Linked DNA regions of Ovis aries. The protein of the gene in region 1 interacts with the protein of each later gene in a pairwise test. Links are inferred from orthologs where the notes say so. Each region holds a gene or a part of one and is shown in the gene's direction. Other genes may lie near its edges.

Region 1 (8,441 bases):
GCGGGGGTACTGCCTGGACGGGAGCGCTACAGGCCAGGCGGGGCACCCGTTGTCGCTAAGGCTCCGCAACAGCCCGGCCCCGACCCCGATCCCGATCCCGCAGGCGGAGGAGATCTCGCTCCTCATTCAGCGCGAAAGGTCCGCGCGCGCCGCCATCCGGCTGGAGCTGTTCCTACCGCCGCAGCTGAAGCCCACGAGGATCCCAGACCCCCTGGACCGGCAAGAGGTGCCCGCGAGCCCGGGAAGGGGCGGGAGGCAAGGCCCGCCCGCCCGCCTCCCCGCACACCGGGCCCAAGCCCTTCTTCCCCCGCAGAGGAGGCGCGTGGAGACCATCCTGGAGGAGAAAGTCCACGGCAGCATCTTCCCGCGTTGACAGAGACCCCACAGCGCAAAACCGCCCCCCACCCTCCTACATAAAGTCTCATTTCCCAACCACCCCCTGGTCTCTACGTTTCCCCTCTCTAAGTTCCCTGGCGGAGGGAAGGGGTTAGGATGGATGCTGGGTCTCCCACATCCTATGTCACGGGACATAAGGGTACACAGGGTGCGGCTCCTCTAACAAAGTGGAAAGATGCAAGTTGGCGGACATCAGATTAACCCCCTAAATCCCATGCTGCTCCCAGCAGGCAACCTGGTGCTCTGTGCATTCGTGGGGGTCTCCAGTCTGGCTGTGCCAGGAAGAAGAGCCTGGCTGAGCAAGAGTTGCAACCCCAGAAGTGAAGGCAACCTCAGGGAGAAAGCAAGACTCCTAGACCACAGGCCATTCCATCAGAGGGTCAGAGAGGAAGCTGACGTTCTGGGAAGGAGAGTGACTGCAAGAACCAACGCTGACCTTTAGGCAAGAGCCAACGCTGGCCTTTGGACAGTCAGCTCTGTCTAGGAGGGTCTTCAGAAGACAGGGAGACTGGGGAAGGGGAGATCTCTTAAGGCAGACCTCTGCTTCTTTTTGTAGAGTCACTCAGTCATGTCAGACTCTTTGCAACCCTGTGGACTGAAGCACGCCAGGCTCCTCTGTCCTCCACCATCTCCATGAGTTTGCTCAAATTCATGTCCATTGAGTCACCCAGACAGAAAATCACCCTCCGTTTTCCTTTCCATCCTGAGAGTCCCTCTTTGCCCCTTTGATTCCCCCTTACTGGAACACACACACATACAGAGGACAGGAAGGACACCACCCCGTCCCACTCTGACAAACCCATATCCTGCAAAACCTCTGGATTCCAAAGAACATCCTTAGTTTCTGGACAGATTTCCCCTTCAAGAATTTACTTTTCTCCCCAACACAGACTCTTTGCAGAGCCTGGGATTTCTCTTAGCCAGCTCTCCTTTATCCTCCCTCTCAGCAGTCCAGCGGGTTATCACAGAGGTGGGGATCTCACACAAGGCCATCCCCTGCCAGGAGACTCCAGCAGAGTCACCAACCTGCAGCAGAGAACTGGTCTTAGAGGGGTGCATCCTCTACCAACAGAGGCCAGAGCTGGGGTCAGCAAGGAGTCCTGTTCGATGGCAGCCACTGCCCTCCCTGACCGGGCTCAGGATGGGGACCAGAACCCTCTGTGTCCCCAGCAAGCCCTAACCCCACACAGGACACTTGGCCAGTTCTGAGCTGTTGCACCCTTGGCCTTGATCCAAGCCAGAACTGTGTGTGGAGCTGAAGTCTGGAAGCTCCAGGAGAGAGGAGGGACCTCTCTACAGGTGGGTAGGCAGAGAGAATAAGGAACAAGGGAGAGAGGGTGACTTGGGCATGGGACAGAGCAACAGCCACTTACCTGCTGACACGTGCAAGATGCCAGCTGGCCCTGGCTCCCCTGGTTAAGCTCCCTGCATCTGAACCCCAGCATTCCATCTCTGGGGGAAGCGCCAAGCACTGGAATGATTTCATCTGTTTAGTCAAAGCACATTTTACTTCATCATTCCTCTGAGCCTCCATTTCTTTATCTTTAAAAAGGAACCCTTAATGACCTCACATGGCATCACGGCCCCAGGTGAGTGCTCTGTAAGAGAGGGGTCACTCTAAACAGGCAGGCACTGAAGGGCAGAGGACGAGAGAGGTGCACACAGCCCTGAGGAGCCGTCCAGGTGAAGGCTCCACCCTTCACCTTGAGCTCTGCACCAGGTGGGGGCTGGGATGGGGGTAAATTTGATCACCCCACCATGAAGGCAGCCTTGGTCCGGAGAGAATAACTGGGAAAGTAGCCGAGGACATTGCTGCAGGGCCTGGAGGAGGCTTCTGCTACGAGAAAGCAAAGCATGCAAGCCACAACCCAATGACTGGAGGCTATAAGGGATTGGGATGGGAGGCGAGGCGTCCCCAGGGCTGGGAGCTCATGCTCTAGACAGAGGGTCCTGGGTCCAAATCCCACCCCCAGTGTTACCCCAGGAGAGACATACGCCTACCCCCACCACATCCAGCTGCCCCACACATCTCAGGATGCAGGTGGAGATGCCATGTCAAGCATCACAGCATGAGCATGGCTGTTTGGCCTGGACTAAGTGTTGGCCCATCTTTGAAGGCCTTACCTCCTGGGACAGTTATCTAGGCTATATAAGAAGCAGCCACCTCCCATCTGGGTAGGCTTCTGGCCTCTGCTCCAGCCCAACCAGCCTGTCAACATGACAGCCAAGTCCTCCAAGGACACAGCATAAGAGGCCCCCCAGCCTTCGGGGCCTCTCCCTCCTCTCTGGCCTTGGCCTGCACTCTCTCCAGCTCAGCTCAGCTCTCTGCTGGCTCCAGTTTTATCCTTTGCCAAGCAAGATGCAGGTCTGAAACACCCGCTCTCTGCTCTGTGGTTCTCCTTAGCCCTCCTCACCTCTCACCCAGTCTGCAAGTCCATTTCTTGTCTGCTCTATGGCTGGTCTGTTCTGCCCACTGCCAGGTCCCAAGGCTGACATGTAGAGAACACCCAGACATTTGCAGGATGAAGACAGTATGTAAATTCTCCCCTTCCCTTTATATCCCCAAGAGCGCTGAAAAACGCGAGCATATACAACTTTGTGCAACTGGAAGGCATTTTGTGAGCAGGCCCAGGGACCAAGGGACATGAGCTGTACACACTCTGAGGCCAGGGGACTCAGACACTCTGCAGACCACTTTCAGAGCAGGGTCGGGGCCGTCCAAATACGGGCCCAAAGCATGCTGGGATAAGGAATTTAACTCACATCTGTACCGAGTCATAAAATACGAGATTTGGCCAAAGAGAAGAGTCAGGCATTCCTGGCAAAGGGGAGAGTGTGGCTTTAAACTTTAGAACATTTTGGGGCAACTGGAAGGGTTGAAAGGGACTCAGCCGGCCACGCGGACAGGGACTTTGGCGACCCCGGATATAAGAACCATTGCCCACCCCTCACCCCGCCCCAGTGGCGCCGCAGCCCAGGAACCGCCTTCCTTGGGAAGGCCCTACAGCACGGTGACTGACAGCACGCCCTTGACCGCGTTTCACAGCTAAGGATACTCCGTGCCAGAGCCTAGGGACGGCTCGGGAGTGACCACGGGGTCCAGTCCTTTCCAGCCGCCTCTCCCTTCCTCAAGAGGGGCAAGCAGCCCACGGAGTCGCCCCCTTCCACCCCCCTACCCCTGTAACGGCAACGCTGGACTGGCCCCGCCGAGAAGAGCTGGAGGCACGGCCACACCCCCAGCTGCCGCAGTACCACTTCAGCCGCTCCGGGAGCCAGAGGCCCCAGCATCAGCACCTCATCTCCACGGGCCACTCAGCGACAATGGGGACCCAGACGCCGCGCGCGAGCGGTGGGGAGGGGGCGGGTGGGGCGCGGAGCCGGCAGAGCTCGGGGCGGGGCGCGCCGGGCGGGGCGGGCCGGGCCGGGCACCTCCCCGCGCGAGGAAGTCCCGGCCCCGCGCTTTGGGGAAGTGCGGCCGAGGCGCCTGCGCACTGCAGCCTGCGCCCGCTCCCCGACGATCCGGCCGGACCTCGGAACGCGCGGGCCGGCGGCTGAGGCGCGAGCGGCTCGGGAGCGCGGCCGGTGAGTGCGCGCGCGCGGCGCCCAGGACGGCAGCCCTGCCCCTCCGGCCCGGGGCCCGTGGGCTGTGCGGGGCGGGAGCTTCGGTAACCGGCGCCCAGATCCGCGCCCCAAGGACTCCCGCCGAGGGGTCCACGTGGACCCTGGGCCGCGGCGGGACTGGATGCAGTCCCCGCGCGTGGGGGAGGGGGCGTTGCAAGCGGGTTCCCCTTTTTCTGCAGCTCAAAGCCTGGGGAAGTGATTGCTCAAAGTGGGGGGGGGGGGCCGGAAGAACCCAGGTTTCCGCGTCTCCCGTCCCCCCTTCAGCCTGGTGGGGAGGGGCCGAGGCGGGACACCCGTACTGCCCCCGCCCCCACCCCGCTGGATCTGGCAGTCAGTCATCCCCGCCAGTCGGAGGGGAGGCGCTGCGCCCCCGGCCCGAGCTGATCGGGGGCTCCTGGCGCCAGCCTCGCTCCAGAACGCGCAGGAGGACCTCCTGCCGTCTGACTTGAGTCCTGCTGCTGCAGTGCACGCCCCTTCGGCAGCCAGGGTGGGGCCCAGAGCGACCTGGCCCCTCCCGCCCCCACCTCGCCTTTGGGTCGCTGGTGAGTGGGGCGCGTGGCGAGTTCCTTGAGGGTAGGGTGGGGGCGTCAGAGGCCGGAGAAAGGGGCAGACTTCCCCAGGCCAGACCCTATTAGCCGAGAGAAGGAGAGAGAGAAGTGGGTTGCCCCTGCCATTGCAGAGGTGGGCTGGGGCGAGGGTCACCAGGGCTAGGAAAATTGGCCTGCCTTGGAGCCGCTAGGCTGGGACGTCCCTACCAGCCCAGTGGTGGAGGGCCGGGGGCGAAGCAAACAGGAAAGGTGCTGAGGAGGATGAGAAGAGAATGGAGCCCCTCTGGCAACCCCCCTCACAAAGGTTATGGCATTTTTTCCTGGGATTGTCACATTTTCTTATTCTTTTTTTGGACTGGGCGGGCTCGGGGACGTTCTTTTTCCTTCTGTGGAGCAGAGCAGCAGCTGCTCCCGAGGGAACCTCTGTCCCCAGAGGCCAGACTTACTGCCCGTCCAGCTTCTCCCATCCTAGACTTAGGGGCCAAAGCCTGGATGGGGCTGGGGAAGAGGAAGGAGCCCCCTTCCACATGCCCGGATGAGGGGCAGGAGCCCTGATTCTGATCCTGTAACCCCACTAGGAGAGAGAGCAGGTGCCCCAGAGGCATAAGTGGTCCCAGCCGGCCTGGGGATGGTGCAGGGAGCCAGGTTCAGGGGTGGGCGACAACGTCCAGGGCCTACAACCAGGGCAGAGGGGCGGCCTCTCCCCATCTCTGCCACAACTCAGCCCCCAGCACCTGGGCGCAGCACTCTCAGGCAGGTCCCCTCCTCCAGTTCAGAGCTGATTTGGAGAAGGCAGCCTAGGGAGTTTAATCTTCAGGGAGCTAGGGGGTGGTGGTGGGGGGAATTGGGGCCCTGCCCCCACTCACAGTGGGTGGAGATGCTGAGGAGGAAGAGCCGCTCTGCCTGGGGAAGTCACAGCCCGGCTGGGGTACAGCTACCAGACCTCAGAGGTTGCCACACCCCTTCCTTTCCCTAGAAACTTGACCCCTGCGGGAAGGCAAGCTGTGGGGCTGCTGTTTCCCCATCTTGTCTGTTTGCTGGAAGCTTGAAGGTCCACCTTCCCATGCTCCAGGGGAAGCCAGGCAGGCAGCCAAGGGCCAAGACCCCATGGGCCCCTCCACCTGGCCCCCAGATCCGGGTCAGGGCAGGGGCCTCTGCATGCTCAGACTCTGGAGACAGGGGTGCCCTCAGCGTGCATGTCTCGGGCTGTCATCCCTGGGCACCAGCACCTGGCCAGGAGATGGGACGCCGGGGTTGCCCAGCCTGCGACCGTCCTGGGGCCCGTCCTGCAACATCGTTTTCCTCTCCTGCCATCGCAGACCCCAAGAGGCCAACTGAACCAAACAGGCACTGAAAAGCCAAAGCTGAGGAATGGGGGGCGTGGGGGGGGGGGGAGGCAGCAACTGAGAGAATGTTCATTTAATGAGAAAATAAAGTGAAACCAAGTCGTGAGTCTCTCGCGGCGGGGTTTCAGAAGGTCCGCGCCCCAGACGCGCCAGGGGCCGCCCCTACCCCGGGGAAGGGGGCGGGATGCCTCACCTGGGCCGAGGTGGGGGTGGGGTGAGGGCAGGTGGGAAGGCGTTCAAAACTGCCTCCTGGAGCCTGATTGGCCGCCCTCGGTCCCTGCGTTCCCAACAGGGGCCGCTCATCCGGGTGGGACTGAGCACCCTCCGCACGCCCGCACTGCAGAAGGGGAAGGTTCGCCCCGATGCCGCTCCGAGCGGAAGGGACCCCGCGGCTCCTACCCGCCCGGGAGCAAGACGCGCCACCGCCCGCCTGCGGCAAGGCCTGGGGCCGCAGCGGTTTCCGTAGCCTGGGGGTGGGGAGGGGAAAGGAGGCTGGGAGACCCGGAGGTGCCAGTCGAAGGTTGGGTGCGGAGCCAGCGTCCGGGCTGAGAAGGCGGCTGTGCCTGCTGCACTGCCCGCACCTTCAGGACGCCCTGCCTCAGCCCCAAGCCCTACTCCAGTGCTCCGTGCCACAGGCCTGGTCTGCTCCCTCTGCGGAGTCCCTGGGAGTAGGCGGGGGGCCTCCAAGGCCCCGCAGCCCTTCTGAACTCCTGGTGGGAAGCAGCCTCCCCACCTCCCACCACCCATCCCCTGGAAAACCTGGGAGGGAGGTTCTGAATGTCTACCACCACCCCTGAGAGCCTCAGACTCAGACTCAGACTCTGGGGGCCTGCAGCCCCCTGGGAGGGGCCAGGAGCCGGAAACCAAGAAAGAGGAACCCCTGCTTCCGGCTTCCCAGGGAGGGAGCAGATGGGGGTGTCCCAGAACCTCCTGTGGAGAGCTTGTCTGGGGTCTCCTCCTTCCTGATCCCCATCCCCTCACATCTTCTGTGTAGACTAGAGTGGGGGTTGGGCCTGGGCAGAGTAGTCTAGAGGTGGGAGGTGGGAGGCGGAGGAGAGTCCGTGGAGGTGGGAGGCCAGGGAGGCAGGTAGGGAGAGACTCAGAATGCCTGGCAGGGTGCCGGCCAGGGCGGGTGTAAGGTTCTCAGTGAGAACCCCGGCCTCTCTTCTCAGACCCCCAGGCTGTGGTGACAGAAACAGGTGTCCTGGAATAGGCACCACGGAGCCCTGGCAACCTCCTCCACCCATCCATGCCCACCCCACCTGAGGCTGAGAAGCAGGTGGGCTGCCTCCACCCTGGCCGCTGCCCCTTGGGGGGTGGGGGGCTAAGGGCATGACTAGGAGTTCAGAGACCCATGGACATCTGGGAGGCCACAAGGGTCATAGCCCTGGGAGGGAGCATGGCCTCCGGTGGGCAGTTGGGGCTGGAAAGCGGGTGGTAACCATGGGCTTTGCCTGGAGGCTGAGGCAGCCCTGTCTTCCCCCAGCAAACAGGGCCAGAGGAGGCGGACCAGCCCCCCTCGATGTCCAGTCATGATGCGGCCCCCTCGGCTCCCCCCAGGCGAAACCCCTGCTGCTTGTGCTGGTGCTGTTGTTGCAGCTGCTCTTGGTACGTGGGCCTGGGGATGCTTGATATGCCTGGTGGGGAGTGGACACTGAGCAGACCTAGGATCCAGGACCCTGGTCCTTAGCCCTTAGGAGGCTTTTGAGGCATCACCTCCAAGTAGGGTACCCCTGCCACCCACAGTACTTATCCAGGGGCTTGGTGACTAGTGGTCAGTGCAGGTGGTATCCACATACAGGCACCTGGCGTGCAAGCATGTGTGTGTGTGTGTATCTACTGTAAGCTAGCTGTGTATGTGTGTCTACTTAAACTAGGGGTGTGTGTGTGTCTACTGCAACATGCAGGCACCTAGCGTGCACATGTGTGTGCATCTCTGCTGTAAGCTAGGGTGGTGTGTATGTCTGTCTTGTCTCTGTAAGCTCGCCCAGACTGGCCCTGGGAACTAAAACAGAACAAGACAAAAGCAGGTCCTACAGACAGCATCAGGTGGAGGGGCTTTGAGCAGAGACCTGGCCCTGGGACAGTTGGTGGGTGGGGGAAGGCACTGGGCCTCGGGGGGTGAACTAGTTTCTAGGCACATAGGGAACCTGTTGGCGGTTTTGTACATTGCAGAGGCATATGGCCCTTTGCAGGTTCTCAGTCCTTGGCTGTTGAGTAGACAGCGCTGAGGGGACCCAAGTGGGGATCAGCTGACCAGTGAACAACTGAGACCTGAGCCCAGGCCTGAAACAGAGAAACTGCCTGGGGTTAGGGATGGGAGGCCATGAACTGTTAGGACCCGCTTAGCCTTTGCCTGTAGGGACCAGGAGAGGAGTTCGCATCTAAAAGGTGGGGTAAGGAGGGAACTGAGTTCTGCCCAAACCCTGAGTCTCAGATGTCCTTAACCGTGTCAGTGACCCTGGTGAGAGGTCTGGCTGGAGGTGTGGACTTGGAAGCCATCACCGATGCTGCGCCCAGAGCTAAGGAG
Region 2 (3,500 bases), on another chromosome or scaffold:
CGACATCCAGCCCTGGATGGACCCTCCCCGTTCAGCCCACTGAGCCAGGTGCCGCCAGGCGTCCCCGCTGGCAGCCCCCGCCCTCGGCGCCCTCGGTGCCTGGCACTGTGGTGAATGGAGCTCATTCACGCCTGCAGCCCAGCCTCCCCGCCTGAAAAGCTGGGTTCACGGCTCCTGAGAACAAACACCCCAGCCTGGTCCTGCAGCAGGCAACCCGGGGCCCTCCTGGGCCAGGACCTCATGCTGGGCTCCAAGGAGCCGAGCGAGCGCCGGGCCGCCTCCTGGCCACCAGGTGCCCCCCCCCCCCCGCCCCAGGACATCTGGCCTTGTGTCTCCAAGTCAGCACATGATGGCTGCTGCGGGCCCTGGTGCCCAGCACGGGGCCTCTCAGCTTCCCATGGGGGTCCCGTTCTGCCTCCAACCTCTGGAGGAGGGCGGCCGACAGAGCCCCCTTTGCCGGGGGAGCAGCGGGCCTGACACACAGCTGGAGGCTGGCAGAGCAGGATGCTGGCTGCCCAGGGAGGCGGGGGAGGTGTGAGGGGAGCCAGCTTGAGTGGCAGAGGGTGTGGGGATGCTGACGGGCCGGGCTTTCCGGGGCCCCTGGAGGGGCTGTCGGGGTGGGAGGAGGTGCTGGGGGCCCCCACAGACAGGTGGCCAGTGGCCCACACGCCCTGGCCCTCCATGTCCACTCCGCCTCCCCCCCAGAGGCCAGAGACCCCGCGAGCTGGCCAGGGAGGTACCCTCCCTGTGGGGGTGGGCGGGCCCCCGTTCCCTCCTGCCCAGGGCTGGTCAGACCGCACTCCTGTCAACGGGTTCCCACCCCCCACCACTGCAGGGCGGACCAGCAGAGCCCCAAGTGACCCCTCGGCAGGCGGGCTGGACGCAGGAGCCGCCTGTCTCCCCCCACCCCGGTGACCCAGCAGGGCCCAGATGCCTGGACATCCCAACAGCTGTTGCCCCCACCCCGCGCTGGCCCAGCCACCCTGGAGCCCCGCCACACGCAGGGCCCCCTGGCCGCTCGGCCTCCGGTCTCTGGGCTCCGGCACCCGCCCGCAACCAGAGACGTGCTCGGCAAGTGTGTGCTCGGTGATTGGTGAATACGTGCCCCTGGCCGCATCTGTTGTTTATTGTACGTGTGAGATCTGGGGTCGGGAGCACCCTGATTAAGACATCATTCCCGTGAAATGACAGACAGCTCCGCCACTGGTCCTTTCCACGCGGCTTCCGGGAACCCATTAGCGTTCGTTGCCACCCAGTGGCAGGCGGTGTTCCTGGACCACCAGCTACGGGGAGGGCGACTCCATCCTGATCTCAGACATGCTGGGGGCTGGCATCCTGCTTCTGTCTGGGGAAGGATCACCCCCCCAACACACACAATCACCCCCAACACACACACGGTCACCCCCAACACACGATCACCCCTCAACACACACGATCACCCCCCAACACACGATCACCCCCAACACACAATCACCCCCCAACACACACGATCACCCCCCAACACACGATCACCCCCAACACACACACACGATCACCCCCCCAACACACACCCTCCCCAAGACCTGAGACCAGGCTCTTTCTAACAAAAGCACAGGAAGGGTTTGGGAGACCAGCCTCCCAGGTGGAGCGCAAGGCCTGGAGTCTATGTCTCCGTGGTGAGGGGGTGGCGGGGAGGGGTGCCTTGTCAGCCCTGATACCATCGGACCCTGTACGTCCGAGAGGGCCAGGCCTCTGGGAGATGAGGGCGGCCCCGGGCACCCCCACCCTGGGGCCAGCAGCTCTGCACACTGCCCCGGAGGGTCAGCGAGCCCGGGGGCCTTGGAGAACATTTCTGGCCCCTCCCGGCCTCGGTTTCTTCATCCGCAGAATGGGGATGATAAGGTCGAGGGCGGTCAGCAGGGCATCCCTGTTCATTGCGCATGCTCAGAACAGTCCTTCACCCAACAGCTCAGCTCTAGACTGGCCCTGCCCTTGGGACACTCACCTTGTGCATCTTAAAACACAGGGCAGCTCGCCACCCGCAGGTGTCCCTTTAGGAGCAAGGAGATCAGTTGTGGGGGGCAGGGGGGAGCAGGTGAAGGCCCTGGGCTCCTCCAGAGCCCGCAGGCTGCACGCATATCCTTGGTTCTCTTGGGGGGGTGGAAGGGGCCCCCTGGGCCACACTGCAGTCACGGGGGCTCCGGGGGGCCGTCCTCACCTCCTCGGGGGCGGCGGAGGGCTCCTGTGTGTGGGGCACCAGGTGAGCACTCAGCCACCAGGGGCTGGGCTGGCCCAGCTCCGCCCTGGCACCTTTTAGGAACAGAGGCCTCCTGCACGTTGAGACTCTGTGAGGCCTGACGCCTGGCGGGATGGAGGCTCCCTACCGGCCCACCCTCGGCAGGCAGGGCTGACCACATGCTCGCTGCAGGGGGCTGTGGCATGGACGGTCTTCCGTGGGAGGCAGGGGCTGGCCTGTGGCGGGGGTGGGGGGGTTCCCCTGCCGGCAGCCCTGAAGGTGCGTGGGGTCCGCGGCCCCTGGGGGGGCCCGGCTGTGCTGACCGCCCCCGCCCCTCCCCCCAGAGCCGGATGGCCGAGAGCCTGCGCCTCTTCGACTCCATCTGCAACAACAACTGGTTTGTCAGCACGTCCCTCATCCTCTTCCTGAACAAGAAGGACCTGCTGGCGCAGAAGATCCGCCGCACCCCGCTGACCGTGTGCTTCCCCGAGTACAGCGGCCAGAACACCTACGAGGAGGCCGCCGTCTACATCCAGCGGCAGTTCGAGGACCTGAACCGCAACAAGGAGACAAAGGAGATCTACTCACACTTCACCTGCGCCACGGACACCAGCAACATCCAGTTCGTGTTCGACGCCGTGACCGACGTCATCATCCAGAACAACCTCAAGTACATCGGCCTCTGCTGAGGGGCCGGCGGGGCCCAGCCCGGGGCGGAAGGCGGGGGCGGAACGCGTCCCCAGCCCGCCCCCTCAGCCCCCGAGGCTCTGCAAACACGACTGTATACGGATAGGTTGCTAGGTAGGTAGACACACTTGGGCGTGCACACACACACGCGCACACACACACTCCCCGCAGACGGGCAGGCTCCCCGCCCGGCCGAGGTCCGTGAAGGCTTGAGGAGCTGTCGCCAAGTCCGCCCCCCAGTCCCCAGACCCTCCTGCCAAGTCACTCTGCCTTCCCGACGCGGCCCCGCTCCGCGCGGGGGGACCACAGGGCCGGGCGGCCGGCTCCCCGGGAGGAGACCCAGGGCCGGAGCCATGCCACCCCCACCGGCACACGCGGGCACCGGGCACCAGGCCGGCCACAGCACTGACTGGCCCTCCAGCCACTCACCGCCCTTTCAGACGCGCTTGGGGGACACGCAGCAAGCCGCACGGTGACCCACGTGGCGCGGCCCGCTGGGTTCCCGCTTTTCTCCTACGAGTTGGACGTTTTATAAAACCGAACCCTGGTTTTTTTCCTCTGATATCCTTTGTTTTTCGGAGTGGGGGGCAAATCTCCT

What was found.
Region 2: the proteins of RGS19 (region 1) and GNAZ interact in a two-hybrid assay, tested with the Homo sapiens proteins (2 studies listed by BioGRID). The link is inferred for Ovis aries from reciprocal best matches to the Homo sapiens genes RGS19 and GNAZ.

What each region holds. Positions count from the first base shown.
Region 1 is NC_056066.1:53,493,407-53,501,847, forward strand, and holds the start of RGS19 (regulator of G-protein signaling 19), read left to right. Parts: upstream 1-3,891; 5' UTR 3,892-4,559; intron 4,560-6,203; 5' UTR 6,204-6,346; intron 6,347-7,083; 5' UTR 7,084-7,160; coding exon 7,161-7,190; intron 7,191-7,397; coding exon 7,398-7,519; intron 7,520-8,441. Other genes in the region: protein LKAAEAR1, read left to right, coding at 104-226, 314-373. UniProt on the Homo sapiens protein: Inhibits signal transduction by increasing the GTPase activity of G protein alpha subunits thereby driving them into their inactive GDP-bound form. Binds to G-alpha subfamily 1 members, with the order G(i)a3 > G(i)a1 > G(o)a >> G(z)a/G(i)a2.
Region 2 is NC_056070.1:71,869,400-71,872,899, reverse strand, and holds part of GNAZ (guanine nucleotide-binding protein G(z) subunit alpha), read left to right. Parts: intron 1-2,559; coding exon 2,560-2,904; 3' UTR 2,905-3,500. UniProt on the Homo sapiens protein: Guanine nucleotide-binding proteins (G proteins) are involved as modulators or transducers in various transmembrane signaling systems.